2 separate regions of the Mus musculus genome follow, and region 2 is reported to be linked to region 1. Evidence: microRNA targets listed by miRTarBase, many of them from high-throughput screens and not tested one by one. Region 1 holds a microRNA gene; the other region holds the end of a gene's coding sequence.

The links. Region 1 holds the annotated microRNA mmu-miR-23b-3p (AUCACAUUGCCAGGGAUUACC, at 11,352-11,372, shown strand). A microRNA usually pairs through its seed, bases 2 to 8, with sites in the 3' UTR of a target mRNA and lowers its output. Matches are read on the target gene's strand: a 7mer-m8 pairs with bases 2 to 8, a 7mer-A1 pairs with bases 2 to 7 and ends in A, and an 8mer does both.
Region 2: the mRNA of Fas is a reported target of mmu-miR-23b-3p. Seed matches in the 3' UTR shown: 8mer at 14,589-14,596.

What each region holds. Positions count from the first base shown.
Region 1 is chr13:63,289,178-63,304,521 of GRCm38, forward strand. Mir23b (microRNA 23b) reads left to right here and starts at 11,307; the gene lies at 11,307-11,380. It overlaps Aopep (aminopeptidase O), which reads left to right. Exons shown (of 16, transcript NM_001289926.1): 15 at 7,681-7,767; 16 at 9,535-13,700. The coding sequence ends at 9,675. It overlaps Gm16907 (predicted gene, 16907), which reads right to left and starts at 7,970. Exons shown (of 3, transcript NR_045794.1): 1 at 7,657-7,970; 2 at 3,515-3,658; 3 at 1-2,282. It overlaps Mir27b (microRNA 27b), which reads left to right and starts at 11,535; the gene lies at 11,535-11,607. It also overlaps Mir3074-1, Mir24-1 and a transcript of Fancc not described here.
Region 2 is chr19:34,326,834-34,342,177 of GRCm38, reverse strand. Fas (Fas (TNF receptor superfamily member 6)) reads right to left here. Exons shown (of 9, transcript NM_007987.2): 9 at 14,408-15,185. The coding sequence ends at 14,854. Among named protein-coding and RNA genes, the nearest start is that of Fas, 44 kb to the right of the region's middle.

The DNA.
Region 1 (15,344 bases):
CCCAGTCTCCACGAGTCACTCCTAACCCTGGCCTAGGAATTTACTAACATGTCTGTACAGCAGCAACTGAAGTAAGGTCTAATTCCCTTTATTAGAAGAACAATCTCGGAGTTCCAGTCCTCTGGGAACAGCGAGCAGTGAGGGAGAGGAGAGGGGGAGCAGTAGAGTAAACCAGATGCTGAAAGTTCTGTGTGGTTCTGTGTGGCTCGTGCACCATAGCTGACAGCTCTTTGCTGGCAGTGCCATCAGCCTGTAGTCCTGCAATAGCTGTGCCTCTCACCACCAGTGAACCCTCTTTAAAGCAAGAAAATCTAATTTAAGCACACAAATTGAAAAAGCAGGGTTGTTTATTGCAGTGTAGACTTATTAACTTATAAGAGCCTCGAGCCTTCGTCTTTCTGTTTACAGATATAAAATGAAACTCCAAATGAGGTTTAATGGGCTTCCCAGATCATGTTCCCTGTACAGATTTTTTTTTTCCTTTAGCAGTAAATTTCAAAATCAAAAGGACTGAGAAAGAAAGGGGCTTCCTGTCATAAATAGGATGGGTGGTATTCTTCAAAGCATTTTATAGCTTCCAACTGTGCATTATAATTTCAAAGTCCTTGAAAGCATTCTCCGTTTGCAGCAGCGTTGTCCATTCAGAAGCCTGCTGCAGGCAGACACTGCGCTTGGAGGCAGGCCAGTGGGATCAGTGGCCTAATGTCTTGCTTTCACCAGCTCGCCACAGAACCCTGCAGCATTGCCACCTAGCAACACAGCAGCCAGCTTGGTCCACCTGTTGGCCTGCCTCAACCCTGGTTCTGCAACAAAGCTAAAGGATTCTAACTGTTACAAACGTGACATGAGGATTTAAGTTGCTGTATCTGTCTGTAAACACTGAGGTCCCAGGTTTTTCTAATAGTTATATATGGAAGTTTGAAAAACACAAAGAATGAGTCAACATGCAGTAGTAAGCAGGCTCGGGGGAGGCTGGGGTCCTCCTTGATCTTACCAAGTAGGCACTAACCACTGAGCTACAGCCATAGCACTGGGAGGGGGAGGGGTGTCAATGGCTGACTCCTTGAAAGGCAACTTCATGTAAAACACTGGTATGTGTATGCTAGGCAGCTGTTAGTCCAGCAAATGGCTCAGATAATCAATCACCTTGTAAAGAGAACAGGTTGCTTTTGGCTCAGGCTATGGTTCCAGCCCCTGGGTGGTTAGCCCCATGACTTTGGGTCTGTGGTAGGAGCATAAAGCAGGGCAGACCCACACGCCTACAGCCAGGAACCTTTTGCTCTTGCTGGCTGCACTCATTCTCTCTGCGCTGGCATCACCCTCCATGCCTGGCCACCGCAGCACTGGATCAGCCCCTGTACTGTTCCCACAGACCAGTGAGATGCAGGATCTCCCCTTTAATAATCCTCAGAATGAATGCTGAGCCTGGAATTGGAACTGCAGAGACAGCAATAGGACTTGGGGGGTTGGGACCAGCACTCAGGGCTACTCTGCATGTCATGCTGGGTCCATCCTAAGGTTTCAGGGGTTCCCACCTGGATGTCCGTTGACATGGTAGGTTTGGGGAGGAAATACTTGGATAGCAATGTATGATCTAGGTCAGTACACCACATAGTCTGTTCTGTAAACAGTGGTTTAAGTAATGAGCTGTGTCTGCCCTGTTCTTCAGGGGCAAAACCAAAAGGGCAGAGGACCAGTGGTACCCTGCATCTGGCCTTGAACAGAAAGGCTGTGTCAGGGCCTATGGTCAGAGTAGAGGGATGCTGACACTGTTGTCCCCTGGTTGGGAGGAGAGCTAGGCTAGGTATCAACTGTTTCCAGAAGAGATCTCTGATGGTGGTCAGGTTCGTAGCCCGGAATTTGAGGCACAGTTCAGGAATAGAAGTGGCTTTCTAAGTGGCAATGCTTTAAGACTGTAGACACCAGAAGAGCAGGGTACCTCTGTGGTGTTAACAAGTGAAGAGCCTTTCAGCTCCGAGGGAACTTCTGGTTCACAGTAACCTTGTACATGGGACAGAATTGCCACATAGCTGGGGTTGGTATGAGTCCAAGTGAGTCCTCTGTACAAATGGTCTTGAAAATTCCCAGAATTGTGCGCCTGGATGTACTTCCCAGAGGTGGTGTGAGCACCCCAAGGTCTTGTCTCTTCCTCCAGCGGTCATCCAGGCCCCATATTCTCTTCTGCAACCAGGACTCGATGGCCAAGGCTAGTTGGTCTTAAGCTGTGTGGTCCCCACCAGTGCCTTCTCTCTCCTGGATCCCTTCTTGCTCACAGCCATCACCTGGGTTGAGAAGGTCACCTCGTTAAGTCCTGCCCTGTCATCTGGGCACACATTCCCAGGTGTTACCTATCTCCAAAGTCTCACAGATTCAATAGTCAACTTTTGTAGTAGATGAGAAAACGACAGAAGATTTACTATGTGGAGTCTCCTGAAGTATCTATATAGTCTCTTGGGCATGGCCCTCCACCTTCTAGGAAGGCCACACTCTTCGGGCCATTTGGTCAGTTTTCCACAAAATAGCAGGACACAACATTTATTTACTATTGTTAACTACTAGCATTAAAACAATAATAAAAACTCAGTGTGTTGCATATATTGCATATGGGAAAATGTTGAAAAAAAGAACTTATTTGTGTGTACACGTTTGTACATGTTCTGGCATAAGCTATGTGTGTATGTGTGCCTGGTGGAACCCCTCTGGCTCTTCCTTCCCCCAAGCCTATGGAGCTAGCTGACCCTACAGTTTTGGGAGTGGATAAGCCATAGCCCATGTTTGTCTGGCTGACTATGGTCCCAGGACTCAGACCTATTGCCACAGCACATCCTGGTGGCAGTCCCACTGTAAGACTCAGCGCTGTAATGTGAATTACCTGGCAGGTTTAGTTGTCTGGCCTCAGATGCAGTTCTGACATGAAAGCTCCTGCAGGCCTATCCTCCATGTGCCCTTCCTCTCATCTGTTCCCAACCAATCGAGCACAAGGAGCACTGCTCACAGAGGTCCCTGTATTGGTGCAGGCCCTGAAGGACTGCAGAGTTCTGGAGTCCATTTCTGGTGGGATAAGCGGCACCTCTGTGTAAAAACCCACATTCTAAACAGAGCATCCTGGAAAATAGTTTTTCTAAGGTTTTTCGGAGTGTGTTTGTGTATGTGTGTGTGTGTGTGTGTGAGGTGGAGTCTTACTATGTAGTCCTGGGTGGCCTGAAATATTCTATGTAGACTAAACTAGCCTCAAACTTGAAGAGATGTGCTTGCCTCTGCCTCATGACTATAGGAATTAGAGGCATGCACCATATGCAACTTTTTGTTACACACCTATGTATCACAAAGAATCAACTTACAGCCGGGCTTGGTGGCGCATGCCTTTAATCCCAGCACTCAGGAGGCAGAGGTAGGCAGATTTCTGAGTTCGAGGCCAGCCTGGTCTACAGAGTGAGTTCCAGGACAGCCAGGGCTACACAGAGAAACCCTGTCTCGAAAAACCAAAAAAAAAAAAAAAAAAGAATCAACTTACGGCACCTAGGAAGTCTCTGGTAACCCAGCTTCTCTCTCCTGCCATTGGTGAGCTAGGCCATGTCCACAGGCACCTGTCCTTCAGCCTGGGGCAGTGAGGGGCCACCAGGGCTGTAGGCTTGCCCCGCTAAGGACTGTCTGCTCTCTGTAAGAAAAGAGAGAGCAGGTTCTTGGTAGTCATGTGTCCAGCCAGAGCACAGACACTACAGAGTCCGGAGCCACTCACTCAACTTCATCTCCAGGAAAGACTCTGAGTTGGCCTTTCCCTGCCTACCTACGCAGGCTTCCACCCTTCCCTTGGCCTCTGCCATTGGCCTGGCCTGACCATCTGGGTGCTATTTCACACTAAGCATTTGCTAACTCCAGACTTGATGGGGATTCCTAGCAAAAGCTTGAGATGACCTGAATTTTAGTTGCTCTTTAAATCATTAAATTTCAACTCTACTAAAGTGTAGTTTTCCAAGTGTGGCGGGTCACACCTATAATTCCAGAACTTGGGAGGCAGCCTTGAGCTACACTGAAAATTCTGATCAACCTGAGCTAAATAGCAAAACTATGTCTAAGAGAACCCAAGGAAAGTGCAGCTAGATCATATGGAACACACACATAAACACAAATGCTAAAACTAAAAGAACAGAGTTGAAAAACCGTAGGAAGAATAATCAATAAATTCAACTAGAACCATTCAGAAATGCAAGCAAAATCACCATGGCCGCAGTCAAGATGACTCTGCTGAAAACACTTGCAGTTTAATCAAGAGCTAATCTTCCTGACACACAAAACATTCCTCAGACAAATGGAGGTGGGATTTGTAGGGAGCCAGTGATCCAATAAGAAGGTAAAGGTTTGCTAACTAACCAGACTGAGAGAGAGAGGTTCCACCTTCTAAGATGGATGCTGCCCTCACAAGGAGCCCTGGGGCTCCAGTTCTATGTCCCTGTTGGCTGGCAGCTCTTCTAGAAACAGCTTTCAGCTCCTTTAGAGCTAGTTGGTGTGACAGTGTCTTCTGTCCATTCAGTTTCCCATAGCCCTGCTATACCTGCAAGCTGTCCTCACTTGTCAGAGGCCCATAGCCCCAGCAGTGGGAGTAGCTCAAGATGTGTGAAATGCAAAGATAGCAATTTGAATCACTGAAGGGCCTTTAACAGTGTCTCTCGGAATGCAGAGGTGCCTGCTGCTTGGTCTGGGAATGCCGCAGCATCCAATTGAGCAGAGCAGGAGACAGCACACACCTGGGTTATATGGTGCTGTAGTTGTCTTTCGCCTTTACTGTTACAGGGACCATCCCTCTGAGTGTTGAGGCTCAGCTTGTGGAGTATTGAGTCCCTGCAGTGTCAGTCTAGGTGGGAACTTGAGTCAAGGTGTCGCCTCTGAAAGGCACCAAAGTCTGACCTGGAGGAAGGCAACCCAGCCGTCCACTGGTGGCGCTTGCACTGGGGAAGCAGGTGTTAACCTTGTTCTATGAGGAGATGGGTTGTGGGTGCTTGCGAGTTTGGGAGAGAAAACTAAGATAATCTTTGTTGCCCTGAGAACTAAAAAGAAAACTAAAAGTGCTTGCGTGAGTGGAGACTGGGGTGCAGCATTTCTGTGGTGTCGTTTAAACATCCTGTCTTTGGAATACTGGAATACATGCAGCCCTTTCTGATGAAAAGGCTGTTTTGTCCTGCTCTCTGTGGGGTGGGGGAGACTGTCTGTCCTTCCTGGATGCCATGTTAGCTAGCCTTCAGGGGTCAGAAGATCGGCTCTCTCATTAGTCACGACAATAAAGCGTTTCTAACTGTAAGAGGAGTGGAAACGCTGACTTCATGTTGTGAAAGAGCCTCTGTGACATGGCCTCCTGAACCTTCACATATCCCAGCAGGGCTGCTGGAGCCTCCTGCCCCCACCCGCTGGGGCCTTTTGCTACTCACAAATGGATCCTGGAGCATGCTCTGTTTCTTCTCTGTGTGTAAATAAGAGGAAAGCATAGAAAAGAAAATGAGGGACGAGAGCTGTAGCTCAGTGGGTAGAAGTGCTTGCCTAGCATAAAGTGCATGCATAAAGCCCTGGGCTTGAGAAACTGCTGCATAGCCGGACATGGCTCTGCACACTTGTAATGCTGCCACCTGGAAAGTGGAGGCAGGAAGTGCAAAAGTTCAAGATCATCCTTGGCTGTGCACCAAATTCAAGGTCAGCTCGGGCTCCGTGAGACCCTGTCCTGGATGTAGGGGAGCTACTTGGGGAAGTCCTCTTTGTCTGGCTTCTTGTTTCCCCTGCCCTCGTAGCTGATCCTAGGCCCCAGGCTAACAGACTCCCTGCCTTTCTTCTGTCCACTGGAATTAGGGACGCCCTGACTACATACATGTACTGTGGACTGCCCAGCAATCGATGGTGTGAAAGCCGTCCTTCCTCTGAAGAACTCTCTGCCTGATCTGTCCTCAGAGCCCGACCATGCTGCTCTCCGTCTGTGGCATTAATAACTGAATAAATCTCTTACCCAAAGAGTAGTTAGTCTCACTGTTTCACCCCAACCCTTAATCCTGTAGCTTTCTAAAGCCCTTTACTCTCAAAATAAAATATGAAATGTAATTTGCACTTTTAGAATGACAAAAGTCATAGCAGCGAAACAGTTTCAGCCAGGTCCGACACAGCTCTTGTATGTGTGCCATTATTAAAGGTGGGTATATGTATTTGTGTAGTTCAGCCAGGTCCTACATGAAAGGTCCTCAGAATACTCTCTTAGGTGTGCCATTATTAAAAGTGGGTTTAGGTATCTGCTGTTTTGTAGTTGAGAAAAGGGAGGTTCTTTCTCTGGCCTGACTGAGCAGGTGGCAGAGCAGTAGACCCTGGGGGACTGTCATACCAGGGTCTCCTGGCTAGCCCCAGAGCTCACAAACAAAAGGTTCTGTTGCCAGCTTTTGGGTGTGGCTAGGCCATTGAAAGACCTGGAATTAGGAAGAAAGGGAAAGGGACAGACTACCCCCCCACCCCCGCCCCTGGGACCAGATGCCCATCATCCTGGTGCTGCCCACTGGTTCTATCTGGTGAGCACAGGAGAGCTAATTCCTTATGGTTTCCTAGGGGCTCTTGATAAATTCTAGAAGTCTTGTATAGTAATGTGGTTTGCAGGGGGCCTAGCCAAAATGTCACCATTTATTCCTGACTGCAAAATGGATCAAAGGCAATAAAAACAAGGGTAACATGAGGAGACTTTAAATTTTACTGGCTGATACTAAAGCAGTGATGTAGCATCCACTGATTGGCTGGCTGCTTGCTGGGTAGAGTTCAGACAGCTTGCTGGCAACAGGTGTGGCATTGTACTCTGAGAAGCAAACAGGCAGAAGCACCTGGTTTAAAAAAAAAAATGAATGTGAGGGCTGGAGAGATGATTCAGTGGTTAGGAGCACTGACTGCTCTTCCAGAGGTCCTGAGTTCAATTCCCAGCAACCACATGGTGGCTCATAACCATCTGTAATGGGATCTGATGCCCTCTTCTGGTGTGTCTGAAGACAGCAACAGTGAACTCCCATACATAAAATAAATACCTCTTTTTGTTTTTTAATGCCTCGACACAGAGAGGTGGCCCTGCAAGGCTCTTGTGCCTGGTGGCTTGACCACTGTCTCATAGGCAGTGGGTGCCTGTAAGAGGTAGGGCAAGAGGACCCTGGCAAGTTCCTGCAGGCAAACCTTTAGAACTGTCTTTGAAAAGAGCATGGTCTTTCTACTAGGTGCACGTGGCACATGCGAGCGGACTCTCAGCAGGAGCTGCAAGCTCAAGAGCAGCCTGCTGGAGCCTCTCCATGAATCTGAGCAGAGGTAGGGACCCACCCCGGCTTGGTGTGAGCTCGGAGTTGGCAGCTTCCTACATACTGCATTTTAATTGTTAAACCTGGCGAAACGGAGCCAAACAGGCCGAGTACAGGCCCGACCCCCATCCCTGTTGCTCGTGGCACAGGGAAGCTGCTTCCCGAAGCTCTGTGTGTTTTCTACTACTGTTGGCTGACAGTCCTTGTACTTGGGAGTTCCAGTCCTCGATTTTAGGAAGAAATGAAATGCAACCGCTCGTTCAGCCACACTTCCTACACAAGTGCCCCGTGCTTTGGTGAAATTGCAGTACAGTCGCCCTTTATCCCCACACTCTCCTGGCAGAGGAGCATTGCTTACCAGGTTTCCTGTCTTGTTTCCCAGGTTCGCCATCGATGGTGTGAACTGGTTATTAAGCACAAGTACACAAAGGCATACAATCAGGTGGAGAGGTTCCTACTGGAGGACCAGGTGAGTGTGATCTTCCAAGAGATAGAAACTGGCCACCATTCCCAGTCCCAAGTTCTCCACATCCCTGTCAGAACAAATTATCTGAAGGAGTTTCAAAAACTTTGAAGGGCTAGTTAGCATCTGAAGATCACTGGCAGCTGTGAGCTGATGCCCTCAGTGTCCTCACAGAACCCCGTCCTCTGTCCTGGCTGTGGACGGAATGTGGCATTAGGTGAGGCTTACCCTAGAACTCTCAGTCCAAGGCCATTGCTTAGCAACACCATGGGTCCATCCAGCTTGTAAGGCTCTGATTGCAAGCACAGCACAGCACATGTGTGAATCACATGGGAAACCCTTGGGTCACCTGTTGGGAATTCACACCATGTCATACCCATGCCAGGCCCTGCCTAGCCTGTGTATTCTCTCCTTTTAAGAATGTCCTAGGAAGCAGTCTCCTGCCTCAAATTTCAGGCTCTGTGTGTGTGTGTGTGTGTGTGTGTGTTTGTGTGTTTGTGTACGTACATGTATGTGTGTGTAACCTCATGTGCCACCTCTCTGGTTTGTGACACATTTTGGGGTCATCCTTCAGGGTACCTCCTCTGATGTTTTGTACCTCATGACATGTTTCCACATGACCTCCCCCATACTCTGTCCCACTCCCAACCCCAACTGGCGCCTCTGGCTAGCCTGTGTGCATACTGTGGGCTGATGGGCTAGAGCCACTTTGAATGGGATGGAAAGTGGGGGTGTGGTGGACAAAAGGACTTTTGACAGAGTCAAAGTGAGGGCTGGTTTTTCCCATAAAGCAAAGGATGTGACTTTTTTACAGCAGAAATGTCACATTTGCACAGTGGAGTAAGAATTGTTTGAGAAAGCAGACAGGAACAGAGCTAAGAGCAGCTCACTGGCATAGCCATGCTGTCTGCTGTACAGGGACCTCCACGCCTCAGCCCCTGCAGGAAAGCTCTTTGGAAGCCGACACTGAGTTTTTATCCTATGCTGCCTTTGAAACACTTGAATTTGAAGCAGAATGTAACCCTTGAGAAACTCCATAGAACAAGAAAGCGGGCAGAACTTGCAGAATGTAATTGGCTGCTTTTTTAATGTTGGCTCAGTGAGAATTCAAGCCTTTGTAGCATTGTTTTCAAAGCAGAAGAGCCAAGAGTCTGACATTTGGTGGCTGGGTTAGGCCAAAGTGACAGCATCTGCCCTGCCTGCACTGCTGGCCATGTGGTCTCTGTGGCCTGTTAGGTGATGGACTTTGTAAGCAAGCTCATGCCAGCTACCCTTTAGGATGCACTGGCCTGACAGACAAGGTTTTCCATGGTGACCATTTTGAGAGCTCTCTGCCTCTGCCCAGTGTATTCCTGACAATAGCCATCTTGGGATAGCTTGCTACTCGGGCACCGGAGTCGGTTGACAGAATCAATAGAATTCTGTATTTCTGTTGTTTTTTGAGACAAGGTGTCATTGTGTGACTCTGTGTGGCTTAGAACTTGCTATGTAGACCAGGCTGGCCTTGAATTCACAAAGATCGTCCTATTCTTCCTCCCAGTGCTGAGATTAAAGGCCTGTGCTACCATGTTCAGCTTCCATAGAGTGTTGATAAGGACAATGGAGACAGAGTAGAAGGTGCAAGCTTCAGTTGGTCACCTGCACGGCAGCAGGCTCTCTCTCTGTCCTTTGTGCTTTTAGACCAGCTTGTGTAAAGCAATACAAACAAGTCCCCATAAACATGTGCAGCCTCTTACCCCTTTCCCATTCTTCTCTGGCCTTCACGGTCTGCAGGCCATGGGCATATACCTGTATGGGGAGCTGATGGTGAGTGAGGACGCCAGGCTGCAGCAGCTAGCCCACAGGTGCTTTGAGCTGGTGAAGGAACACATGGACAGAGCATCGGCCCAGGTGGTGACTGAAATGCTGTTCTAAAGAGGTAATTCTCTTTTCTTTCTTCTAACCATCCATGTCAATTGGTAAGCCACATGATGAGCCACAGCACCAGAGGGCTGCCAAACGGTCTTGGGGAGGAAGCAGCAAGGTGGGTCCTCAGGAACAGGAAGAAGGCTCAGGATCTCTGGAGCACCTCACCTGCTGGAAGCATGGGTGTGAAGCAGGTACAGCTGAAGGAGCAACAGATCTGGCACTGCTTTAGCCACCCTGGATTTTGCACAGGTCCACAGGCTCCAGGGTCAAGGTCAACACAGCGGTCCATGGCCTCATTGCTCCAGGCTTCAGCATGCAGGCATCTCTCCTAGAGGCTGTGTAAACCTGAGACTCCTTGGCCTCTGGTTCTCTGACCTGTAGAGTAGGCAGCAGGTCTTCTCTGCCCCTCCATCCAAGTGACACTTGCGTCCTAAAGGCAAGTCTGTTTCCATCTCGTGCTGGAACAGGATTTACGCTGGCTCCCAGAGTCCTTGGCTGTGGTGTAACTTGCCTCCTCTGTAGCCAGCTTGTGGACCAGTAATGCAGTTCAGCCACAGGGCGTGGAGTTCTGAGACAGGTGTGGGCTAGTGCGTCTCTTTCATAGTCGCCAGTCATCATCTCTACATCATCCCAGGACATTATCGCTTGCCATGGTGGTACATATGATGTTTACTTTTGTATATGTTTGAAATTTTACATCAATCACTGTGTTACTCTGTTGTTCTCTATGATTACCAATTAATGAATATTTAGAATTGTGTTGCTAATCTTAACCCATTGTCAGACATTAAATTTACATTTTCACATTTCACTTTTATAAAACCCACTTCTGTGTAATGTTTATTTTTCTGAAGAACTACACTGATGAAGGGAAAACATGTTACTATGTATGACCATGTTGTTGCAGAAGAGCTGGGGACCGCCACAGTCAAGCAGGGGAGATAGTGGGCTGGAGTAAGCAGGTACAGCCTGCTAAGCCTGCACACTACAAGCTAGGACGGTGGCCTGTGTGGATAGACAGAGTCGGTCGGGGCGCCTCTTCACTGCCTCCTGCAGACATTTCTCTAGAAACTTGTAAGCTGAGGGATTGTTGGTATGTGGTGTGTGAAGGTCACACAGTAAAGCCACTGTTCCCTTTTTAGGTCCCTAGGCCTTCACTTAGGAAAGCCATAGTCACATAGTGGTCCTAGTGACTCTTCTAAGAGTATTTTTGCCCCCTGAGTGAGCAAATCCTCAACTTGCTAGGTCCCCTATGAGCTCTGTGCTATGCCTCAGCTTATCCAACCAAATGCTTGGTCACAGGCAAGCCAGAGAGATGCTCCCTCCCTACACACCACACCTGCTGTCTGAGGGGCCCAGAGACATCCCAACCCATTCAGTCTGCAATTGGAGAACAGGGTGTGTCCCAGGGTTAAAGGCCACATACTCAGAGCAAGGATGGTCCCTAAGGTATTGGTCTCATAGCTGATAAGTGTGTCCTTTGTCTCCCAGTCCCCTATGCTCCTCTATACAGTGCAGCCAGCGCGCTGAAGGACAGCAGGCTGCACTGCTAGCGTGGTGGGCTCAGAGGCGGTTTGGAGGACACTCAGCACATGTGGATGGGAGTGGTTGGGCATGGTGCTGCCCTCACCTGCTCTGGCTGCTTGGGTTCCTGGCATGCTGATTTGTGACTTGAGATTAAAATCACATTGCCAGGGATTACCACGCAACCATGACCTTGGCTGCTCCTGCAGAACCGTGGCTACTTTCTCTCTGCAGTTTGGAGAACAGAGGCGCCTTGTGGCTCTTTGGAAACAAAAGAAGCCAACAGCCTTCGAAGATGCTCACCAGCCCTTTAATTATGGCCGGCGATGACCTCTCTAACAAGGTGCAGAGCTTAGCTGATTGGTGAACAGTGATTGGTTTCCGCTTTGTTCACAGTGGCTAAGTTCTGCACCTGAAGAGAAGGTGAGATGGGGACAGTTAACTTGCAGCTGCCAGGCAGAGGCCACTGCCTGGTGGTCACTCCAGAGGAGGAGAGACCAGCCTGCCTCAAGGCTGTGTTGTCAAGAGTGCAAACAGCGTGCTGACCACCCTTAAGTGTGTCTACAGAAAATACAGTTCTACTGCTAATTAGTTCACTGTAATGTCAAGTGTATTGGGAGTCACAGAAAACTAAACCCAGGTGCATCAAGGAAACTGAGCCAACCTTGTCTCAGCTGATGCCACACGTGATGGGTGGGGGTGTGGTTCTTTGTCCCTGCTGGGCGTGGTGAACTCTTTCTTGTATTTGCAGTCCAGGTCTCCATGTCTCCACAGTCGCTGGCAAGATGATGCCCAGGGCACGCCAGGAGGCACTGCCCAGCTGTGATTGGACCCGCCCTCCGGTGCCTACTGAGCTGATATCAGTTCTCATTTCACACACTGGCTCAGTTCAGCAGGAACAGGAGTCGAGCCCTTGAGCAAAAAGCCTACCCATCTGTAAGTGCCTGAGGCAGGCCTCCCACGGAGAAGAAGATGAAGGGCCTGAGTGTCTGGTACCAGACCCAACAGCAGTGGTATCCCTCTGTATGTGCTCCCGAGGTGGGGATTTGTAGAGTGCAGAGCTAACCTTGGAAAGTTTGCATTCCCTAGAAGCAGGTAGGGCAGGCGCTGAGCATTTGCCACGTGTTGGGGCAGAGCACACCATGTCACCGCTGCCTTGAGCAGTGAGAATGCCTGTCTGAAGGGCCTTGTCTGTAGAGCCTTTCTGAACCTCTCTGGGCTTCACAGCCCTGCATGGCCTGTGCCGTGACTGTGCACCCCAGACCCAGGATTGTGAGGTGTGGCTTCAGTGTTGCCCCTGTCCTCCCATGAAAAGTTCCCTCTCAAGTGGAGGTCAGAGGCTGGGAGGACTCCTGTTGGAATGGCTGTGGTGACTGGGTAATAAATTTTATTGCTGTTTCCTCCACAGGACAGATCACAGTGAGATTCTCATATACCTTCTCCTAGCCCTGGTGGGGCCAGGACTGCACTGACCCTGGACATCAAAGGGAGGATTATGTGGCTGCTAAGGCCATCAGCCCACAGCAGTGGTTGGTCCATCTTGGGCTTCCAGAGACTGGGCTCCCGTGGCATATATAAAAGGCGGAGCCTCATAAACTGTTGCACCTGGCAGCTGCCTTTGTTCCCAGTCCTAGAGAGACTGAGTCTACACACTGGAATTGAGCTGTGACTTTAAGGCAGTCATTCAATGAAGGACACCCTCCCCTAGGCAGATGGAGAGCCGGTTGCCTGCTTCCTGTGATTGCAAAAACTAGCTGCCATGCTCTGAGACTGCAGAATCATGTGACACCTCCTGTGGCTGGTCCCCAAGGATTCTGCAAAGCCCTTTTGATGTGTTCAGTCAACAGAGCATTCCTGTTTTTGAAAATGCAGGAAAGCCTAAAATGTCTTAATAAAGTACCAGATTTGCTAGTGTTCCAGTTTGCTTCTGAATTTGATGCTCCTTAAAAGCAAAGAAGAACGTGTGTCAGAACAGGCACTTTCCACACACTTCCTACCTCCAGGTAATGTTAATTCTAAAAAGGTTGGAAGTAAAGGGAAATTAGTGTGGCTTGGGACTCTGCTCTCTTCCAAATGTGGAGTTTCAGCCAGCCTGGTACTAGCGGAGTCTCAGAACAAGCTCTAAGCTCTTTCAGTCACTGTCTAGAGAACGGTGCTTGAGACTGAGCCATCAGTGCAGTCACATGAGCCCAGCCAAGGCAGAGCGGTGGACAGAGGAACCAGAAGGAGCATCCCACTGGCTGGCCAGGCTTCTGCACCCAGACCTGCTGGGTGACAAAGGCTCTAGGACAGACTGAGAGGAGCGTCCGCACAGAACCATTGGTTTTCAGAGCCTGGGCTGTAGCAGTGACTGCATTTGGATGGTTGCAGGGGACTTGCAAATGGTTATCTGCTTTGTATACCACAATGGTACAAGTATCAAAGTGTGTTAATTCTACTTAATGTTACCCTGATTTCTGTGAAGACTTGAAATAAATGGCTGAGTCTATGCCTTCCTGCTCTCAGAAGCACTCTGGCCTTGCTTAGAGGTGGACTAAGAACCACACACCCTGTAAGGCCCCTCTGAGAACCTCAGTGGCCCATACCTCCTCTGAACTGGAGAGAGCAGCCAAGCACTGGTTTAGTCTGGTTTTGTTCTTTGTTCTTAGGAACCACTAAAGCAAAACAAAGCTGTCGCCTAAGGTGGGTTTTGTTCAGGGATCAAGTCCCTTGTCCCCATGGGTCACTGAGCCCTGTGCCTGGCTGTGTCTGGCTTGGGTTCTTGCCAATGGGTTTCAGGTAAGTGGAGATCTCACTGGAACCAGATGCCCATTTCACAGCTTTGGTGAAGGATCTGTGGTAGAGCTGTCCTTTGCCACCTCTGGCTGGGTGCAGAGCAAGCCTATCCTCCCCTCTCCTCTAGTCCCCCACCCCAACAAGTTAGGCAGCAGCTCCTGCCACCCATAGCTGCACCAGAGGCCCATGAGGCTGTGGAAGCAGGCTTCCCTCATCTGGCTGAGACCTCTGGAGTCAAGAAAGTGCAGTCTCCATTCTTCCGTGAGCCACCTGACTTCACAGGACACAGAACATTGCAAACGTTAACTTGTCAAATAGGATGCGAAGCAGGGTCTGAGGGCGGAAGAATGGATGTCTAGGGAGGCTTGACCTCCTCCTCTGAGCTGTCTCACCCAGGGAGGAGTTTGCTCTATAGCATATGGTTCAGGTGATGAGTGAACTGTTGGCGGAGGAAGGATGTGGATCATCACCCAGGCTCCTGCTCCAAACCACAAGTGGGCAGAGCAAGAAGCTGGATCCCTGGGTCAGTGTTTGCTGTAGACCACTCTGTAGTGCTTGGTCTTCAGAGCTTTGGTGTCCAAGCCTTAGGCAGGGGCTTGGAACCCCTCTAAGGAACTCTCCCTCCCACCACTCAGATGTGAGACTGAGCCTGTGTTGAAAGCCTGGAAGCCTGAACCTGAGTCTGCTCCTCTGTCCCTGGAGAGACTGAGACTGTCCTTGGTGGTCAGGCACACTTGTTGCCAGCACTATTTCCATGCCGTTTTCTAGCCTCACTTCATTCCTGGAGGAAGCTGAAGGGTGAGAGAAACCCAATGGGAGCAAAGTGCTCTACCACCAGGCCCATGCCTCCAGTAGGTAGAGGGGCCGGGACAGGAGGATCCGTGTGAGATAACTGCCAAGAGGTGAGTGGGATAGCAGAAACACCAGCCTCTTAACCCTGCCACTGAATACTGTCATCGTCATTGCTAAGCAGATGTCCATCACTTGAGAACAACAGGCCAGGGCTGGGCCAGCCTGTTCTCACTGATCCCACCAGAAATGGCCTCCTTCCAACCAAGACAGCCTAGAGTTACTCCATCTCTTCTCCAGAGGAGACACACCCCTCCGTGTTATCTGGGATGCTTCCGACAAGGATTAGAGCAGGCCTCAACCGGAGTGAGGCCAGGGCTACAGGAAGGGGGTGCATCTAGATCATCTGATGTTGACCCCTGGGCCATGGTTCCCTGCACAGGAGGAAACATCAGTGCCCCCACTGTGGGCTATCCTTCTGCATAGATCCTGAACCCACTGTTTTGTCCCTCTACATAGATCCTGAACCTGGCCTAGGAAGGGAGCCATCCACACTCGGATTTGTAGAAGAGAGTTGAACCCCAGGA
Region 2 (15,344 bases), not on the chromosome of region 1:
CTCTAACTGCACATGGTCAGGCTAAAGACCCAGTACACCCAGGACACATACCTTGGACACTCAGGAAGAACAATTAAGGCAATGTAGAGCTTTTGGTACAGCGAACAACCCTTCCTTTTCTGTTATTCCTGTAAGTACCGCATTACAGACCATTTTACCTTTGAAGAGATCAAACCTCAGAGATTTTATGTATGTTGATCAAGGCTAGAAGGCTAGTAAGTTTTTTTTGTTTTTTGTTTTTGTTTTTTTGGTTTTTCAAGACAGGGTTTCTCTGTATAGCCCTGGCTGTCCTGGAACTCAGTCTGTAGACCAGGCTGGTCTAGAACTCAGAAATCCACCTGCCTCTGCCTCCCAAGTGCTGGGATTAAAGGTGTATACCACCACACCCGGCTGGCTAGTAAGTTTTGAAGCTAGGATTTACATTGAAATTTGTTTGCCCCCCTGTTGTAGTCTGTCTTGTGTTGTTATCACAGAATGCTTAACATTTCACCAGGCTTTTCATGATAAAGCATGTCATTGCTTTGCATCCAGCAGCTAGAAAGTCCAAAGAGCATGGAGCTAGTTTGTGGTGGAGGAGTGTGCAGCTTCACAATATGGCAGACGCTGGGGTGGTGCAAAACAAAAGCAAGGGAGAGAATGCCAAAGAAACCAGACGTGTGTGACAACAACCCACTCTCAGCCTTCAGAGAGCCAACTCAGCGAGAAGCATTAACTCCTGTAGGTGACTTAATTGTCTTCTAAAGGCACCAAGTACTGACATCATGACATCGGGCGCAAAAGCTCAACACTGAAGACTAAACACATCTAAGTCTCACCAGCGCTAGGACCTAGGATTCTTCTATCAGTCTATGCTGACCTACTTGAAACCTGTTTATGAAGCTGAAATATTTGTTTTCATTTTTTAGGCTATTTTAAGACATGATTCCTACCATAAAATTTAAGATTTCAGAATACCTGATTACATATCTTTTCATATCTTACAAACCTCTTACATATCTTCATATTTTCTCATGAATTAAATTTGGAAACTACATAATACAAGTGAAAGAGTTCCTGTTCAAACAAAATGATTCTTGGCTTCTACAATTTTTAGTCATTTAAAAAACAAAATTTATTTTAAAGCATACAACCTAGTAGTAAAAAGTATAAAGTATTTAAGTGATATATTTGACTTCAGGTGATTGTGGAAAACACTTTTAATTTTTTTTCCTATCAATTGACTAGCATTCTTAACCATACTTTAGTTTTATTATACTTAACTCTCTGACAGTGATTTCTGTGCCCTGTCCCAAAGAACATTTCAGGATATAGTCCCATTATGGTACCTAATGATACAACTGCAAATCAGCATGGAATTTCTGTCCTGTAGCAAACAGCATAGACTTTCATTCTCTCATCTGGTCATTTATTTGGCAATACTGTTTGTTAATATATCACTGAGTTCAGGTCCCACTGAGGTTCATCAGCGATTCCTGTCTATTAATATTCATCCTCTCATGACTTTCTTGACACATTGTACCAAGGTCCTTGTATGCTCAGTTGAACTTGGCAAAGGAATAATGTAATTCCACATAGCAAGGTTGCAAAAAGGCTATAAATTGTGACTCCATTACTTCCCCTTTTCCCTTGGATTACTCAATCTGAGGAAAGCTATCTGCCATGCTGTGCAGGCATTCAGGAAGCCCAGCGGAAATTCCCATAGAGAACGGATCTGAAAATTTTCACTAATCTGAGTAACTGAAGCTTTTACACACACACACACATACACACGAGCTTCCACACAGGTTTGTAACACTGACCCATATCTAGAATACAAGCCAGGGGAGACCACTGTCTCCTTAAGTAGCTCTGAGGCCCTGGACCCTCATTGTGTAAGAGAACAAACACATTTGTTATTTCAAGTTGCTAAGTTTAAGGAGAATCTCATTAGACAACAATGAACAACCAACATACTCAGGCTAAGTACAGAGAGAGTAAAAAGTTATCAACTTTATTCCTGTTGTTTGTGCAAAATGTATGTGGTAGCCAGTATCTGTTGAGAGACTGATGGATGGTGGCAAGTGGCTGTTTCCCTTCTGGTATACATGATTATTGTCTTCATCAGAGCAACTGTGGTCCACATAGCCTAGGTCCTCAAAAGATTGAGCCTCTTAACATCTCCAGGTGGAGGATGCAGTGAGGCTCAAGATGTCCCTTTTCTCCTGGGGGACAGGAGCAGTAAACAGTCACTGGAGGAGAAGGCTTTCTGTGTCAGAGTTGCCAGGAAGCTGCACAGGGGATTTCTTCTCGTTGTGATTAACCTTCTCTGGTTTACCAAGAAAGACTGGATCAATCTTTTCAGCCATTACCTTCTCTAGCTGGACTGAATAGACATCGAGTTTCTAAGAATAGAAAGGAGTCTGTGGATTGGTTAAATGAATGAATAAAAATCTTCAAAGAGAAGACCTCATTTGAGAAATAAATTTCAGTGATTACTTGATTTCAATTTACATACCACTACAATTGTTATCTGTTTCTTCAAAGGTTTTGTCCCTTCTGAAGAGAGTGCTCTGAGTCTGCCTTGAATCCTAGTGGCTGATTCACAAGGTGCTTAGCATCCATCTGCCGAGCATCCTTTAAGTCTCCGAAGTCAGTCATCACAGAGTATCAGATTATTTCCTGTAAAGAACAATTTGGGCTATATAAAAATACTCTCCTCTTTGTGAATCCACACATTTACCATAATACTTGACTTATGCATCTTTATGTTCCCTTTCTCCTTCTAAGAACTATGTAGACACACACACATAAACAACTACATGCACACAAAATATATACTTGTGTGTGTGTGTATATATATATATATGTATATATATATATATATGTATGTATATATATACACATACATATATACATAAGCACACATACACACACCATATATATGAAATATATACCCATGTATATGTATGTATATATTATATAGTTCTTTTTCTCTTAGTATGTAATTTCTGGCCACTTCTTGGTATTGCCTGCTTCCACTTAGACAAAAATCACATGAGGAAGATGTTCAAGGAAGGAAGGGAAGTTCAAGGAAGACATCTTTTTTTTTGAGAAAAGAGAATTTATTGGGTCTAGATTTTTAGAAACAAGGTTCATGACTGTCATGGTGGAATCAGGAAAATAGGAAGTGATGGCATGGAACAGTAGTTGAGAGCTTCCATGTGGAGATGACAACAATGAGGCAGAAAGAAACAGGCTAACTGGGAATGGGGTAGGCTCTGGAAACCTCAAAATCCATCCCCATGGTATAACTCCTTTAACAGGGCCACACCCTCTAAGTCAAACAACTCTATCAACTGGAGACCAAAACTAAGACAAAAGAGCCTATTGGGACCAATCTCATTCAAACCAGCACAGGAAACTCCACATCTAGTACTTACACATTAGCTACAAAATCAAGGAAGGCATCTTAACACAACTGAAATCAAATTTATAGCCACAGAGATTATGAAAATCAGTAAGATAAAACTGTACTTTCTCTGAAGCATTTATTTTGATTGAATATTGGAGCTGCTATCAGGACGTTTGATAAGTAAGTTACTTTTATAATGAAATGAAGATGGAAGTAATCACAAAACTAAATGAAAGATTAAAATTTTTAAAAATTATGTAAAATACACTCACCTGCCAGATAATGAGGAATGGCCTGGGAGCAATACTTGATTTGCTGTCAGCCTTTGTCTTTTTCATGGCCGGTCCACATGTACATAGATACACATGTGCATTTCACTACAAGAGTCCATTGTTGTTGCTCATGGCTTAGAGTTGAGAAATGTGTTTGGAAGGATGACACAAAATCAGGTGAGGGAGTTGACAGGGCTGTTAGAAACACATTAAAACCAAAAACGACTACCCAGTTTTGTTCTCTCGTTCTGCATTTTAGTTTGGCTGCAGAGCATTAATGAGGTCATGGAGAGAACCCACTCATGACTCAATAAGCCTAAGTTTGAAGTTGAGATGTGGAGACTAAATAAATAAATAATAAATAAATAAATAAATAAATAAATAAATAAAGCTTAACTCAAGTTGAGTGACCATTCCTGGGTAAGAGAAGAAATGAAAACAGGAAGCTGGGAAACGTCTTCATTACACCTGATTAAAATACATAGTTCAACAGATCCTGCAGCCTGCACCAGATCTATCTAGAATGCTGTCACCATTACCTCTTCTAAGTCTTCATTCATTTGTTACCAAGGAGACAGACCTCCCATCCTCATGCCAGCCTCTGCTACCAGTGGGATAGTATTTGCCCAGTAAAAGAAAAGAAGTATTGATACGATACAGTTAGGTGGGTCCTGAAAACATTCAGAGAAACAAGATCGTCACAAAAGCCCACAGATGGCCTTCCACTTATGTCATATGTCCCAGATTGCTGTCTCTGAATTCCCAATACCGAGGGACCCATGGATGTGATGTACCAGAGAGGCTACTTAGCAATGAAAAGAGTTTTTTTTTTTGTTTTGTTTTCATTTTTGCTTGTGTTATACCATAAACTGAAGAACAAGACCACATCTGCACTCTCCATTAATAACGCCCTGGGAATACAAGCACAGTGAACTGCCTCATTCTAGCCTGTGGTGGTTTTGACAGGGCAAAAAGCAAGTTACGGCAGCTTTGAGATGATGTATCTGTGCCATCTCCAATGTCACACATTTTTCTTAATTGTCCAAGCATAATTAGACACCTTGGGAGGCAGAAGGGCTCTTATTACACCCCTACACACACACACACACACACACACACACACACACACACACACAGACACAGACACACACACACACACACCACGCCACACAACACACACACATGTGACATACTTGGACTTGACATGTATACATACATGCATTTGAGTTGCATAAGGAGCATTTTATTTCTAGCATGTCACTTTGTAAAGTTGAAGAGATCTGACCTCTTTGACTCAGCTAGTACACGATAGAACTAGATGCCATTGCACGACTGTGGAGCAACTAAACTCTGCAGTCTTCACTTGAGCATTTTTACTGCTAAGAAATGGTCTCTCTTGAAAGATGCACCACATATAAGGCTGTGCAAAGCATGATTATGTTTTGACATCCTCAGAATAGCTAAACCTAAAGACAGAAATCTTCTTACTGATGATTGCGGATGGGGCGTTGGGGCTAGGGGACAGCGGGGGTGTGGGAGTGTGTGTGTAAATGCTTAGTACACACTAGCTTTCCTTCGAAGCAATAAAAGCTTTTGGAACCAGATGGAAGTAAAAAAAAAAAGTTGCACAATGTTGTGAAATACTAAATACCACTGAATTGTATACTTTATGATGGTTGGTTTTTATGTTATGTGACTTTTGCCTAGATTAAAAACAAAAGGGAAGAAAGGGACTTTCCGATTTCCAAGTTCTTGAGAAAGCCCTTTCTCCTGAAGGAATGAGTAAGGTGTGATGTGTCCGTCAGTCAAGTGCTAGGCCATGGGAGAGGATGGAGAAGCACCAGGGCAGAGTATGCCCTGGACCAGAATTCAGCAGAACTGGAGAAAGTGCTGCAGTGGGACTCTCTCAACAGCTTCTTCAGAGTCCTGCTGATTCAAGCAGCACTCTCTGCACACCCTCCAATCCACCCTTAGGTCCTAAATCTCATCGGGAACCATGTCTCATAACCTCTCATTTCCAAAGGAACGTTCATTTCCTGAAGACCCGCAACTTTGTTGTATTTCCCCCAGCCCCAGAAATTTTGTTTAAATAATAAAGCTACACAATAGAAGTATCTGGTCCATGCAATTTATCTTTGCATTAGCTGTGGAAATAGGAAGATGCATTGGCAAGGTCTTTGTCCCTCAACAAGACCAGCTCCAGGCATCTGGACACTGTCACCTCTCTTTGTCATGCTTCTCCTTTTGTACACTGCAGCCATACTGACCCCGTTGCAGACCCTCACGCGTGTTTGGCTTGTCCTGGCGTTTGTTCCAGTCCTCCCTCAGATTTAGGCCACCCTGCTGCAAATCTTTGCTCCATCTCACTGAGGCCTCTCCTGACCACTCTATATAGTAGTAACACACCTTGCTTTTTTTTTCTCTCTCTCCCTACCTTTGCCTCAATTCTCCCTGTCCTGATAAACGGATCGGAGCATTTATAATCTCATAACATAGTATTCTGCACAATCATTACACAAATTCTTGTCCGTCCTGTTATGAGAGATCCAGCTCCAGATTGGTGGTCTTTTTGTATGTTATTAGCATGTTATTAGCATGTTATCCTAGAATAGTGCCTAGCTGTAAAAAGTAAGAACTATTTGATAGATAGTTGTAGAAAGATCAAGAGTCCTAGTGGTTCAACATAAACTGCTGTCTCTCTTTATTGATGAGTATTGAATATATTTCCAAATGAAGCCGGTTTTGCTGCAATTTGTAAAGACTTTGTTGTTGTGCACTCTTGATACCTAAGATGGGATTTGAGCATGCACACCCAGGTTCTGAGGATAACACACTGGCCTCTGGCCTAGAGCTAGACCTTCAATCTTTCCCACCATGTTTTCTGGGAACCAGACTGAGACCCCTTGCAGACGGAGAAGGAAGAGAAGAGATTAGAAAAAGTTCCATTGGCTTTAGCCAACAAACCTTGGCAGTTGTGTGACAAAGAATTCTAAGAGGTTCATGGAACTTTGTTGCTAAATTTTCTCACTCTCTTTCAGTACAGTAGAGCTTGCTTCAGTCTTTAATAGAAGACACCAAGTCACTTGTTTATAGACAAATAAGAGTGTATAGGGGTCACAAGGCAGAGCACAGGGGGACTCCATCAACTCTGTCTGGGTCCTACAACATGAGCATACCTGTCTATCAGCTGACTTCCAGATGTTCTGCACCTGGTCCTGTTATCTGACTGTCACCCAGCAAACACTTCCTTCTCAAGTCCATTCTATTAACTTAAGAGAATGGGCACTTACACTTGATATATTTGTATTATAATATAATATACACGTACCTTTAGTTAGTCTAAAAATGGTGGAGTGCTTGTTCAACTTTTAGTTAAATAGTGAATTAATCTCTAAGTTGGAAATATTTCTTTCCATGGGTGTTGGCATACTGAAGCCTTTCAGGCTGTGACCCGAGACTTTGCACATTTTCATAATTGCTGATTAATTATGCAGCACATGAATATTTCCAGTCTCAAACCTTCTGAAGCATGTCTGGACCTGGGGATATGAATTTTAGAGTGCTGTTCATGAAACCCAGGGACTCATGGGTATGAGACAAGTGCTTCCCCCCCCCTTCCCAAAGCCACATCATCTGCAGGACACATTTCCAAACATCCTCAGGTGGTTTCTATGAACGTTAATCTTAAGAACCAATGTCATACTCTATTACAGTTTATCACATCCTCTCATGGGTGTCTCATTCCTGTGCATTACAGTTATAGGAACAACTGATGGACTGTGACTTTAATTTACAGATATGGATAAAGAACATCCAAGATGTTAAATCTAAAATTATACAGCTAGGCCATAAAAAGGGGTTGACTTAGAATCAGACATTGCCTTATTTTAGATAAAACTCTTGTAATATCTGCTTTGTTTTGCTCTTTTGTTGGCAAGTTGAATATGAGAATTAAACTGTGACATACTTTGGAGAAACTTTCAACCAGGACCTGAGTCAGTGCTGGAGAAACAGTGCCATCTTGTGGCCGTGTGGAACCACAGCCCCGCTTTCCTTCCCATTTGTTTGGAGCCCACTGTTATATTTTATTGACAGATCCTTGGGCCTTTTATTTTATAGCTGAGACCTTTTTTTTTTTTTTTTTTTTTTTTTTTTTTTACATTTAGTAAGAGGGAAAACAAACACAGGGATTTCCATTTTTATCTGTCTTTTAGGAATAAAGGACTAGTAATGCATGGCTTTTAAAATAAATGTAAAGAAATCATTTACCATAGCACATTCAGGATATATTAAGACATATTTTTAAAAATTTTTATTAGATATTTTCTTCATTTACATTTCAAATGCCATCCCAAAAGTACCCTATACCCTCCCCCTCCCTGCTCCCCTACCCACTCACTCCCACTTCTTGGCCCTGGCATTCCCCTGTACTGGAGCATATAAAGTTTGCAAGACCAAGGAACCTCTCTTCCCAATGATGGCCAACTAGGCCATCTTCTGCTATATATGCAGCTAGCGACAAGAGCTCTGGGGGTACTGGTTAGTTCATATTGTTGTTCCACCTATAGGGTTGCAGACCCCTTCAGCTCCTTGGGTACTTTCTCTAGCTCCTCCATTGGGAGCCCTGTGTTCCATGCTATAGATGACTGTGAGCATCCACTTCTGTATTTGCCAGGCACCGGCATAGCATCACTCGAGATAGCTATCTCAGGGTCCTTTCAGCAAAATCTTGCTGGCATATGCACTATTGCCTGCATTTGGTGGCTGATTATGGGATGGACCCCTGGGTAGGGCATTCTCTGGATGGTCCATTCTTTTGTCTTAGATCCAAACTTTGTCTCTGTAACTCCTTCCATGGGTATTTTATTCCCTATTCTAGAGAGGAATGAAGTATCCATGCATTGATCTTCCTTCTTCTTGATTTTCTTGTGTTTTGCAAATTGTATCTTGGGTATTCTAGGTTTCTGGGCTAATATCCACTTATCAGTGAGTGCATATCAAGTGACTTTTTTTGTGATTGGGTTACCTCACTCAGGACACATGCTCCACTATGTTCATAGCAGCCCTATTTATAATAGCCAGAAGCTGGTAAGAACCCAGATGTCCCTCAACAGAGAAATTGATACAGAAAATGTGGTACATTTACATAATGGAGTACTATTCAGCTATTAAAAACAATGAATTTATGAAATTCTTAGGCAAATGGATATATCTGGAGCTGAGACATTTTTATCCTACATTTCATGGATTTACTCATCAAAAACAAGGTAATTAAGTCATGTGATAGTAACCAACAGTCAAGTGATTCATATTTTTTCTCACTTTATTTACTGGGGTGTAGGACCATTTTGTCCACTTGTATGATTCTGGACTTGTGGCTCAGGTAGATCCTTCTACCCTGTAACTGGAGGCATCTTCTAATGAAGCTCAAAGTATCAAGGACGTGTCTCCTCTCACTAAAAAATCTTCCCCCTAAAGCAGTATTATATTAGAAACAAAGTTAGAGATTGACCGTTATTTTACTGATGGTGAAGTGTCTAGAATGAAGATCTTGTCTTTCTGACTAGAAAGTAAACAGGTGATATAAAAGCTGAATACATCATATACATCATATTCACACACACACACACACACACACACACACACACACACACACACACACACACAATCAGCATGTCTCCTTGCAGTCACTTGGTTAACTAACATCTTCCCTTCTAACATATTTAATTATCGTGTCTGTGATGCGTGCACATTCGCAGGTGCACATGCACATGTAGCCATTCTTACTTAGGATGTCCCCCTCTATCGCTTTCCACCGCTTTGGTTTGAGAACACATCTTACTCCCACGGTTCTGGTAGACTAGCTGGTCAGGAGCTTCTGGCATTACCTGTCTCTGCTTTCCAACAATGGGGTTACAAGGATGTGCCACCATTACAGTGACTGGTTTCTTTTAGGGCTGGGGATGCAAATTCAGGCTGGAAAGCACACGCACCAAATGCTTTACGCTCTGAGCTACCTGCCCTCGCCCCATCCCAGTTTCTACTTTAAAATACAAAGTTGACTATATCTGAAGGAAAACCCTTCTGTCCCAAAAGCTTATAAATATACATAACATCTACATCACAGATCTCCAAGGTGTTTCAGGTGACAGCACAACCTCCGTCAGTATGTTTCCATCTTTGGAGCCTTCCACTGGAGGGTATCTGGAAGGGGTTTGTCATACCCCAACAGAACTACTTCATAGGATCAGCACTTTATATAATACAGCAAATCAGCTCACTACAGTTTATTATCTTCTTTCTGCCTAGAACCAAGGTATTCATCCAAGCACTGAACTGCTAAGAGGTCTAAGTAAGCATTTAAACCAATGAAAATGTATGCTAGCCTTATTTATGATAGCCAGAATCTGGAAAGAACCCAGATGTCCCTGAACAGAGGAAAGGATACAGAAAACGTGATACATTTACACAATGGAGTACTACTCAGCTATTAAAAACAATGAATTTATGAAATTCTTGGACAAATGGATGGATCTGGAGGATATCATCCTTAGTGAGGAAACTCAAACACAAAAGAAGTCATTAGATATGCACTCACTGATAAATGGATTTTAGCTCAGAAACTTAGAATACCCAAGATACAATTTGCAAAACATAAGAAAATCAAGAAGAGGGAAGACCAACGTGTGGATATTTATTCCCCCTTAGAATAGGGAACAAAATACCCATGAAAGGAGTTACAGAGACAAAGTTTGGAGCTAAGACAAAAAGATGGACTATCCAGAGACTACCCAACCTGGGGATCCATCCCATAATCAGCCACCAAACCCTGACACTATTGCATATGCCAGTAAGATTTTGCTGAAGATACCCCGATATAGCTGTCTCATATGAGGCTATGCAAGTACCTGGCAAACACAGAAGTGGATGCTAACAGTCATCTATAGGATGGAACACAAAGTCCCCAATGGAGAAGCTAGAGAAAGCACCCAAGGAGCTGAAGGGGTCTGCAACCCTATAGGTGGAACAACAATATGAAATAACCAGTACCCCCAGAGCTCGTGTCTCTAGCTGCATATGTAGCAGAAGATGGCCTAGTCGACCATCACTGGGAAGAGAGACCCCTTGGTCTTGCAAACTTTATATGCCCCAGTACAGGGGAACACCAGGGTCAAGAAATGAGAGTGGGTGGGTAGGGAAGCAGGGTGGGGGGAGGGTATAGGGAACTTCAGGATAGCATTTGAAATGAAAATAAAGAAAATATCTAATTAAAAAAAAAAGAAAAGAAAAATGTATGCTAGCTTATAAGTGTGACACATGACCTCACACAAATTTCTGTCTGTGTGATCTATTCTCAGATCACTGGAAACAGAAAGACAAGCCAGAGGTATGACAGAGTTAAAGCCTTAGTCAAATCCCTTTGCTAACAAACTATCAGAGTTGGTGCCAAAGGACAGCTTAAACTAAGTTCCATCTAAACACCGCATGGCATAAGAAAGTTGGACCAATATGGGAGCCAAACTTCCTTCTTCTGGTGCACAAATCTATTTGAACCCGGAAATTATTGAAAGATATAAGTCCCAACATACTAAGAAATCCTGGCTCAGAACAGGAGTCTCTGGAGGAGTTGGTAAATAAATAATAAATAATAAATAATAAATCTTCTATGCATGAAGTTAGTACACATAAATACAAGACTTGTCATTCAGATCTACAATTCAAATTCAAAAATACACCAAGAAGGTCACATGAGTATGGCTAGTGATGTGGCTCAACAGGTAACCTTAGTACAAATTCCTAGAACTCCTGTAAAAGGCAGTTATGGCACATATGTATCTGTAAGCTTGGTAATGGGAAGTAGGCAGAGATGGTGGACTGGCTGCCAGTCTAGGTCCAGGCTCAGTAAGAGTCTGTCTCAACAGAATAAGGTGGAGGATGCTAAATCAGGATACCTCTTATTCTATGGCATCTCAGTACGTGCACATAGACATATACATGTGCACACAAATGTGTATACAGTGCACATGCATAAGTTCTTGGGAGCCATGTGAGGACAGTGAGTTTATGATTGGCAGCATGAGATCACAAGTAAAATTTAATTTTAAAAGTATTTTTAGGAAGGACTCATGAAGAGCTGTAGACTCCTTAAAGTAGGATGATGGAATAAGATTGTGACTGTAGCCTTGGCTGGATTTAAAATCACCTAAGAGACCCACCTCTAGGTAGGCCTGTGGGTATGCTCCAGATAGGCTTAATAGAAGAGGGAAGACCCACACTGAGAGTCTGCACACCATCCCATCCCATGAACCAGGATCCGAGTGTGAATAAAATGGAAATGAAGAAGGCTGGTGGAGCACCAGCCCTCCAAGGTCTCTCCTTCCTGCTACAGACACAGCTTGACCAGTTGCCATGGTCCCCCAGCCCTGGCCTCCTTGTCATGATAGACTGACTGAACATTCAAAGCACAAGGCAAGCCTTCTTCCTTTGGTTGCTTCTTGCCAGATATTTGTTTACAACAAGAAAAGAGACTGATAGACACAGCTTTCCACGTAACCTTAAAATATCCATGAATAGGAAGCAGAAACATATGTATAAGTGAGCATTCACAGATAATTAGAAATGTCACGAACAGTGGACAAAACGATAAAAAATGGGAATGGTTAATTTGAGGAGAGTAATGAAACATCTCCCTACATACGATCTTCATATAAAACTATAATTTCAAACAATCAGAGCAGAGAGAAGTTCAAAAAGCTACAGGAGGTGATGCTCTACTCTGGGAGGAAAGAATTGAGGGACTCATACAGGAGTTATTCAAAGAGAAAAGATCCAAGTCTTCAGAACAGCAAGGACATGGTATATGCATGCGTGTGTGTGCGTGTGTGTGCGTGTACACTCATATATACATATACGTATACATATACATAAACATATACACATGTAGCATCATTAAAGAAAAATAAGGACATGAGTTTGAAAGAGGGAAATGAAGGTGTTAGAGAGAGGAAAGGGAAGGCGAGATGGTATAATTATAATCTCAAGGGATAAAGGTAAATATAGCTGGGCAGTGGTGGAGCATGCCTTTAATCCCAGCACTTGGGAGGCAGAGGCAGGTGAATTTCTGAGTTCGAGGCCAGTCTGGTCTACAAAGTGAGTTCCAGGGCAGCCAGGGCTATACAGAGAAGCCCTATCTCAAATAAATAAATAAATAAAAATAAATAAATAAAAAATAAAATAAAAGTCATACTGCTTAGCAAATGAGTTAAAACTAAGTTTACTATAATCTCAACAATTAGGAGGGTGAAGCAGGAGGATTACTACAAATTTCAGGCCAGCCTAGACCACAGAGGAAGATCTCAAGAAAACAGGGATAATGAAGGATAGGGAAAGAAGCAGCAGAAAGGGGAGAAGAGGGAGGGGAAATGGGGGAGGAGAAAGAGATTAATAAATCCACATTGGAACTCTTTTAAGTTAAATTGCTGAACACCAAGAAAGTGTGGTAAAGGAACCTTCAGAGTCTATTAGAGGAAAAGAGAGGAGTTGCCTAGAAAGGAATATTTAGACCAGAAGTGGGCATATCATTAACAATGAACACAAGAATACAGTGGACTGATGTTCTAAAAGCTAGGGAGAAACTACAAATACTGTGCATTATGTAGACTTCCCCTTTCCGTTCCTAATTATCTGTCTGCCTGCCTATCCATCTATCTATCTATCTATCTATCTATCTATCTATCTATCTACTTATTTACCTGGGTAGTAAGGATTGATTCAAGAACCTTAAGGGTGCTAAGAAGGTGGTCTACTACTGAGTTATCTTCCAGCCCCTGGTATAAAATCCAAGCAGGAAAACTTCCATTCAGATGAGAGCACGGGAAATAATTGCAAATAATGTTGTGCTGTATGCCATATCGAGATCACTATATGGAAACTAACAATGTAGTACTGCATAGGGCCTGGTCAAATACCAGAGGACTCTGTGGTTACTAATGAAGAATGCTTAGAAGTTTAAGTATGCAAGGCCCATGGGGGTCCCTGACCTCCTTTTGTACATAGTCCTTTTTCCTGCAGCCCATACGTGACATAAGTATTCCTTCTCATGATGTGTACCACAAAAAAAAAGATTCAATCACTGAAGCAAGGTAACTTTGGAGCAAAAGGTCACTTTAAGTCCAGAACACAGCCATGGTTATTGATGTGGGAGTGGTCATTCCCGGAGCCTCTGGGTGAAGCCAAGGGGAAGAGACTCACATCCTCCAATACAAAGCCTTTTCAAAGGGACTCAGAGTTCTTGGTTCAAGTTCAAACTCATTAAAGAAGGCACAGGATGTTCTTATGCTTAATCTCACCTTAAAACGTGGGAGTTTCATATCTGAACTCTACTGGGTTTGTCCTTCTGCTCTGTCCAACTAGAAAGCTGGACAGGACATACCTCAGAGAAAACTGTCATACCTCAGAGAAAACTATAGGCAAATCCCCCAAGCTGTGCAATCTTTCTGCTTAAATGCACTTTTGAGACCACGGTCATCAGATTCCTCAAGAATATCAGACATCTGCCAAGCTAAAGTATTCTTGACAGTAACAGCCATAGAATGAACCATTTAATTATTAAAAGGCTTTGGAAAGGAATTTCCTCCTAAGAGGTCAACTCAAGCTTTAAAGATTCATTCATTGCACAGGTAGCATTTAAGTCGTCATCTAGAGTAAAGAAAAATGGAATAACAAGCAAGACAACAGAGCAATAGAAATGCAAAAAGAGATACTTTAATTTAAAAATTATTTCTTCTATTATACATTTCCACATAGAGAGGAAAAGAACTGTCCATCAATGGAAGGTCTTCAATTAACTGCGAGTATTTGTTTCAGTTTATAATTCTCCTCAGTTCATAGTATATGAATATAAACACAAACACTGCAGATTCCACTTCACATTTAATACAAATTTCATGGACATTTGAATGTAAAAATTGCAGTAGACAGAGAAAATGGTTCATCTCAGCAACTGCAGAGAATAACAGAAGCAGTCCCTGGAACCTGCTAGTCATTTGACCCTCACTGAGTATCAACTACCATTTGCTGGCAAAGAGAACACACCAGGAGTTGCCAATGTCAATACAGTTGGCATTCATTTTGTTTCCATCATGGGTGGCAGGCTCTCTCCTCTCTTCATGGCTGGAACTGAGGTAGTTTTCACTCCAGACATTGTCCTTCATTTTCATTTCCAGTGTCTGGGGTTGATTTTCCAAGGTCCTTCTGGACCATGTCCTGAAATTTATCTAAGGTTCTGCGACATTCGGCTTTTTTGAGACCCTTGATTAAATCTTGATATGCATCACTCTTCCCATGAGATTGGTACCAGCACAGGAGCAGCTGGACTTTCTGCTCAGCTGTGTCTTGGATGCTGTCATGCATGATCTCATCTATCTTGCCCTCCTTGATGTTATTTTCTCGAGCAAATTTTTTAGCTTCCTGGATTGTCATGTCTTCAGCAATTCTCGGGATGTATTTACTCAAGCTAAGATCTGAAAAACAGAAAATAGTTTCTGAAAATGTCTGTCTAGGAGAAACCCCCTTACAGAAGCCGGGTTCACATCTGCGCTAGGTGAGACCCCTAGGGTAAGCTTGAGTTGTCCTCCCAAACTTGCTAAAGTATTTTATAATTTACTCTCTGAGCCAGACAT